Linked DNA regions of Xenopus tropicalis. The protein of the gene in region 1 purifies or fractionates together with the protein of each later gene. This does not show direct contact. Links are inferred from orthologs where the notes say so. Each region holds a gene or a part of one and is shown on either strand. Other genes may lie near its edges.

What was found.
Region 2: the proteins of tmem63b (region 1) and cxcr4 purify together in Homo sapiens (co-immunoprecipitation; 3 studies listed by BioGRID and IntAct, with this or other methods). This does not show direct contact. The link is inferred for Xenopus tropicalis from reciprocal best matches to the Homo sapiens genes TMEM63B and CXCR4.

The regions. Positions count from the first base shown.
Region 1 is NC_030681.2:2,005,206-2,008,705, reverse strand, and holds part of tmem63b (CSC1-like protein 2), read right to left. Parts: intron 2,686-3,500; coding exon 2,606-2,685; intron 2,280-2,605; coding exon 2,241-2,279; intron 1,668-2,240; coding exon 1,577-1,667; intron 985-1,576; coding exon 947-984; intron 336-946; coding exon 193-335; intron 91-192; coding exon 39-90; intron 1-38. UniProt on the Homo sapiens protein: Mechanosensitive cation channel with low conductance and high activation threshold. Osmosensitive cation channel preferentially activated by hypotonic stress.
Region 2 is NC_030685.2:81,967,511-81,971,436, forward strand, and holds the start of cxcr4 (C-X-C chemokine receptor type 4), read left to right. Parts: upstream 1-1,126; 5' UTR 1,127-1,192; coding exon 1,193-1,201; intron 1,202-2,854; coding exon 2,855-3,922; 3' UTR 3,923-3,926.

The DNA.
Region 1 (3,500 bases):
AATGCTGCGGGCGCGGATGTGCTTCTCACTGGACCTACCTGGAGTCCAGGTTAGCGATGGTGGTTCTCCCGAAGCTGTAGGCATTGTTTTCTGCATGAGATACACACAGGGTTAGGGGGGGCAGCACACAGGGTTAGGGGGGGCAGCACACAGGGTTAGGGGGGCAGCACACAGGGTTCGGGGGGCTCTTACCCAGCAGGTCTCCAGAGAAGTTAACAGGCAGCACGATGCCCACCGAGAGAACCCCAACTACCACCAGGAGCCCAATGATGTGGCGCTGGAAGGACAGGTAATGAACTGCATCGGCACCGCACTTGTCCCGGATCTCATCATCCCTGGGGGGGGGGGGAAGAGAATCCAGGTGAGCCTCATACAGTAGCCAGGAGCCCCCCAGCGAGTCAGAGGCATGGGCAGCGCCCCCTATAGGTCAGTCCCTATGGACATTAAACACAGTGCACGGGGGGGGGGGGAAGGGGGTACAAAGCACAGAGAACACGAATCCACCCCCCCAAGAGGTCTGTTAGGTGGGAGGGTGGGAGCAGAGCAGTCCGTGGGGGTACACAGAACACAGAAGGGGATGGGTAAGGGGTACAAAGTGGACCCCCAGAGGTCAGTCTGTTAAGGGAAGGAGTGCATAAGGCGCAGTAGTGCCCCAGAGGTAAGTACGTTAGAGGAGGGGGCACAAAGAGCACCCCCCAGAGGTAAGTACATTAGGGGAGGGGGCACAAAGAGGACCCCCCAGAGGTAAGTACGTTAGGGGAGGGGGCACAAAGAGCACCCCCCAGAGGTAAGTACGTTAGGGGAGGGGGCACAAAGAGGACCCCCCAGAGGTAAGTACATTAGGGGAGGGGGCACAAAGAGCACCCCCCAGAGGTAAGTACGTTAGGGGAGGGGGCACAAAGAGGACCCCCCAGGTCAGTCTGTTTGGGAGGGGCACACAACTCACTTGATCCTGAAGATGGCGGTGAGCCAGGAGCAAAACCCCTGCAGAGGGAAGAGTGAGACGTTACACACAGACCAACCTACCTACGGGCACAGCGGGTACCCGCCCAATAAAACACCCACCTACCTGTTCATTTCTAAACATTTTTATGCCCCCCCCACTCCACCCCCACTCCACCCCCCCCCAAAAAAATAAAAGGAATGGGAATGTCTGTGTTTCTGGGTGGCGGGTCACGTTTTAGCTGTACCCAAGAGCTCACAATCTAAGATAGGGGCCCAGTATCCCAGTAAGAATTACTGTCTGTCAGCAGCAGGGCGTGCAACCCAAACCCAAACTGGTACCTGACCTATTTCTAAGCCAAAACCAGCAAAGAGAGTTGCAGAAATTCAAGGGTTAAACTGACTGAAGGGCTGGGTGATTAGTCTGAACTCAATAGGCCAGGACAGAAGATATAAAAAAACATCTGGCCCAGTCCCACAAATAATGAGCCCCCGCCACCCTTAGCTTGAGCCCAACCCACTTGTGAGCAAGTACCAGTACCAGCACCAGTACCAGCACCAGAACCCTCCTGATGAGTAAGATGCGCAGCCTTACAAGTCTTTACGTCCCCTTTATTTCCCAGCATGCACTCACGTTGTCGCGCTGCTCGAAGTCCACGGAGCTGGAGACGGAGGTGAGGCGCTCGTAGCGGTCGTGGTTATCGGAGTGCATCGCGGAGGCCACGCTGCGTGGAAGGAAGACATTGGTTAGAAGGGGCCCCCAAGCCACGGACGCACTGCAGGAGGGGGAAACCGCTGGTAGTTAAGTGGTTAAATCACTCAGAGATCTGATTGGGAGAGACAGAAGTTAGTACTTGTTACCCCGAGAGGCAGAGAGGAACTAGGAGTCACAGGTCCGTCCAACCCCAAAATGCAGCAAAGCACCGGTCCCAAAAGTCTGATTGGCCAGGAGTGCGCCCAGCTGGTACAACTACCCCCCCCCCCAGGGGCACCTACAATGTTCTGATACTGTACATGGAAAGGTGCAGGGAGTTTCATGTTCTCTCTTCAGCAGTCAGGGGGAGGGAATTCCCTTTGCACAGTGCACTTCCTGTGCCAACATTCTATTCCAGCAGGAACTTCCTGTTACTGGAGGTATATAGGCCCGTGGGTTCCAGTATATGAGTGCCAGGCTTGGGACAGGTGCTTTCTGTGCCCACATACAGAGAGTGCAGCCAGGACAGTTAGTGGAAGAGACACCACAGAGGGGGCAGTTAAAGTGACAGTAGGGGTACCACAAGGAGAGAGTTACAACATACTATTCGTGCTCCTCTTGAGGGACTCGCTGACGCCGCTGTCTGGGTTCAAACACAGAAAATAACATAAAAACTGAGTTAAAATGGGTCCAATCTGCTGTAAGTACTCGCTTGTCCAGAAACTCCCAGCAGCCCTCTGCCCGGTGCTGCCGGTACCCGCCCTGCTCTGCCAGGAGAACCCGCTCTGCAAGGGAAAAAACATGACGCCTGCCCTGCAATTTTCTCTCGCAGAATCTGCACGTGGGGAGTAAAATGGAACAGCCCCCGTGGGTGTAGGCACCCTAAATGCAGCTACATGCCTGGGGCACCCATGCCTACCCCGTGGCACAGAAGCAATCACCCCCCCAGCCCTGTGGGTGCCAACTCACCTGTCTGCATCCGTAACCAGCGCCAGCCTCCCATAATCCCACGCTACTTTCCTTAGGACAGAGAAAACAAAGAGCAGTGCCTGGGGAGACAGGAAAGAAAGGCAAATTAAGATTGTAAGCTCCGCAGGCCAGGGACCTCCTTCCTCATGTCTCTGACACTTTGCCCCTAAGCAGTTGCCACTAGGAAACACGTCACTCATTACTGGGTTGCTTGGCATATATACGTGTGGGGCTCGTGCCAGGGGAAAAGGGCTCCCTGACTGGTACCATCAGTACTGCTCTGCCCATAGGGTTAATATGACAGTTAGTGAGGGGTGACAGAGACAGATAGGCTGCCCCTGGGGGGGGGGGGAGGGCTTATCAGTCGGTGCCACACGGCACAGCTCAGTTAGATAAGGGAGCGCTTGGTACAGTTACACTTTTGCCTCACACACTGCTAAACGCACAGGGTGGGGGTCCAACTAATGTCCCCCATAAGGTGCCAAAAGCTTGTCATACTCCTGCGCTACAGAGCTACCAGTGCGGGCTGCAGCAGGCATGTCATCTGATCCCTAATTAGCCAGAATGCTTTGCATGCTGTGAGGCCCCTCCCTCTAACAATGTAAAAGCCCCATTAACCCAGTATATATCTTATATCTGCCCCCCCCCCCCCAACTGCCACTCACAGGGACCGTCTGAATGTGACTCACAGCCCTTGTGCCTCTTATTGGCAACTACTCATCATGGGAGGGGGCACAGCCTGCCCTTGTGATAAACCCCAGCAGCCAAGGGCCTGGAATAGAGTGACAAGTCAGCAATGGGGGGGGGGGGGGGGGGTCAGATAGGATCTGTGCCACTGTGACAGAATGCTCTGTTATACAGATAGCTAGAATCTCAGCCATAAAGCAGGGCAGGA
Region 2 (3,926 bases), on another chromosome or scaffold:
ATGATAGATAGATAGATAGATAGATAGATAGATAGATAGATAGATAGATAGATAGATGATAGATAGATAGATGTAGATAGATAGATGATATATAGATAGATGATAGATGATTGATTGATTGATTGATTGATTGATAGATAGAGATAGATAGATAGATAGATAGATAGATGATAGATAGATAGATAGAGATAGATAGATGATAGATAGATGATAGATAGATGATAGATATAGATAGATAGATAGATAGATGATAGAAAGATGATAGATAGATGATAGATATAGATAGATAGATAGATGATAGATAGATATAGATAGATATAGATGATAGATAGATAGATAAATAGATATAGATAGATATAGATGATAGATAGATAGATAGATAGATAGATAGATGATAGATATATATATATAGATGATAGATAGATAGATTATAGTCTGATATATGATGTAAATATTTCATAGAGATAGGTAGAATATTAGTTAAAGAGCATATAATTGGTTTAGGCAGACAGTTAAATACATAATATGATTATATGAGAGAAACAGATATACAGACAGACAGACAGACAGAGAGACAGAGAGATGAAGAGCAGGTAAGTGATTATAGATAGAGGTGAGTAATAATAAAGCAGGTAGAGAGAGGGAAACACAGGGTTAATGGCAGAGGAATCCCACCTGTCTCTGTACCCCCAGTGTAAGCGCTGATGATGATGATGGGGATGAAGGAGGGAAGGGCTGGGGGTAACTGAGCCAAAGCAGCAGCCGCCCCACTGTCCCGTCACTCGTGTGGCTAATTCCCCCCCCCCCCCCCCCCCACGTACGTACATACCATAGGAACCCATTATACCCCGCTGCACCTGCACAGTCAGGAAAACAACTTTGAAATCAAAACATGGGGCAGCTCCCCCCGCCGCCCAGCTCCGCCCCCGGGCTGATGTTCTGTGCAGATGTGAGAGAACAAAGGGCTGCGCCCCCGGTGCAGATGCTGCAGGAGATGCGCTATTGTGCCGCCTGGGAACGCTCCGGACTGGGCGGGCTCTGCGCATGCGCGGGCTGGGGCGGGCACTTATAAAGCTCAGCGCGGCGCTTTCTCCTCAGTCAGTCGGTGCGATTAGTGGATTGTGAGTGCAGTGGGACCTTCTTATCTGCAGCCCTGGAGCAGCAACTGGACATTATCGGATCTATTGCCGGCATGGACGGGGTAAGTCATAGGCATTATATTTATATTCTAATCCTATTGGGCAGCTCTGGGCACAGCATGGGGGGGACGTTCTGCCCAAGTGCCAGGGGTCTGACAGCTGGGCACAGGCGGGGTATAGAGCCTTTGTATGGGACTAAAGGGTAACTTGGCAATAGCCCTATAGCTTATAATGATCCTATTGCGCTAGTATAGATCCCTTGCACTAATACTGATCCCTTGCACTAATAGTGATCCCTTGCACTAATACTGATCCCTTGCACTAATACTGATCCCTTGCACTAATATTGATCCCTTGCACTAATATTGATCCCTTGCACTAATACTGATCCTATTGCTCTGATACTGATCCTATTGATCTAGTATAGATCCATTGCACTACTACTGATCCTATTGCGCTAGTATTGATCCTATTGCCCTAGTATAGATCCCTTGCACTACTACTGATCCTATTGCTCTGATACTGATCCTATTGAACTAGTATAGATCCATTGCACTAATACTGATCCTATTGCTCTGATACTGATCCTATTGATCTAGTATAGATCCATTGCACTACTACTGATCCTATTGCGCTAGTATTGATCCTATTGCCCTAGTATAGATCCCTTGCACTACTACTGATGCCTTGCACTAATACAGATCCTATTGCTCTGATACTGATCCTGTTGCACTAGTACTGATCCCTTGCACCACTACTAAACCTTTTGCGCTGGTATTGATCCTGTTGCACTACTACTGATCCCTTACACTAATTCTGATCCTATTGCACTAGTATAGATCCCTTGCACTACTACTGATCCCTTACACTAATTCTGATCCTATTGAACTAGTATAGATCCCTTGCACTACTACTGATGCCTTACACTAATACTGATCCTAGAGCACTAGTACTGATCTCTTGCACTGTTCCATTGTTCCATTACTATCCCCTGAACTGAGCAAGTCACTGAGAAGTGCACAAATTGTGTATCTGTGTATATAGATAAATATATACATATATTATTGTGCGCCTTTTATTCTATCCCCCTCTTTTTCTCACACCCCCCCAGCCCTGTACATCGCTGTATTCAAAAAACCGTTGCTCTGACCTGACTCAGCCCCAACTTCCCTTTCATGGGTCTCTGGCAAATCAGTGGGCTCCCCTGTGTGTAACCCCAAAAGAAAGTTGTTTTGTTCATTTCAGAAGAGGAAACCGCTTGTTGCCACACCGATGTGTAGAACCCTTTAGTAAGCCCAGTGAGTAAGCAGAGAGAGTAGCGCAGACATTGCTGTGTAAGGGTATAGTAGGGCACCGAAGCACACTCGCCGGCTTCTCTAAGTGCCATTTAGTAGCCAACCTGGCACTGATCTCAACCCTGGCACAAGTCCCTTCGCTGATTCTTAAGCCCTGATTGTGTTGTTATTGTTGCTGCTAAAATTCCTGTACTCGTTTCTGCTTTTGTACTGGCCAAGTCCAATAATCTGGCGTCGGGTTCTCTTATACTTGTTTGTGACACGTGAAAGTGTTTCCTGACTTACTAAGCAATAAGAGCTGAAGGAAGCATAAATTATTGTGTATATATATATATAGTTTATTGCACTGGAGTCCCTATGGGGCTGACAGTCACGCTGTTTAGTCTGCATCCCATCTAACAAATCCCTTGTCTCTTGCAGTTTTCCGGTGGCATCGATATCAATATATTTGACAGCAACTCCACGGAGAATGGTTCCGGGGACTTTGAGGATTTCAGTGAGCCGTGCTTCATGCACGACAACAGCGACTTTAACCGGATCTTCTTGCCCACGATCTACTCCTTCATTTTCCTGCTGGGCATCATCGGGAATGGACTGGTGGTGGTGGTCATGGGCTATCAAAAGAAATCCAGGACCATGACGGACAAATACCGGCTGCACCTTTCGGTGGCCGACCTGCTTTTTGTGTTCACCCTGCCCTTCTGGTCTGTGGATGCTGCCATTGGATGGTACTTTAAGGAGTTCCTCTGCAAGGCGGTCCATGTCATTTATACTGTCAACCTGTACAGCAGCGTTCTGATTCTGGCGTTCATCAGCCTCGACCGCTACTTGGCGATTGTCCATGCCACCAACAGCCAAGGCTCGAGGAAGATGCTGGCCGACAAAGTGGTGTACGCCGGCGTGTGGCTTCCAGCCCTTCTGCTGACGGTGCCCGACTTGGTGTTTGCTCGGGTCAGCGATGAAAATGGGCAGTTCGTGTGCGACCGCATTTACCCCATCGACAACCGGGAGACTTGGACTGTTGGGTTTAGGTTCCTGCACATCACGGTTGGACTTATCTTGCCTGGTCTGATCATTCTGATCTGTTACTGTGTCATCATATCAAAGCTTTCCCACTCCAAGGGCCACCAGAAGCGCAAAGCCTTAAAGACCACCGTCATCCTCATCTTGGCCTTCTTCGCCTGTTGGCTTCCTTACTATGTCTGCCTCACTACCGACACATTCATGTTGCTTGGGCTGTTGAAGGCCGACTGTATTTGGGAGAACACCCTACACAAAGCCATATCCATCACGGAGGCCTTGGCCTTCTTCCACTGCTGCCTCAACCCCATCCTCTACGCCTTCCTTGGGGCCAAATTCAAGACCTCCGCTCAGAATGCCTTCACATCGGTCAGCAGGGGCTCAAGCTTAAAAATATTGTCCAAAAAGCGAGCCGGACTTTCTTCTGTCTCAACAGAATCCGAATCCTCCAGTTTCCACTCCAGCTAACAGT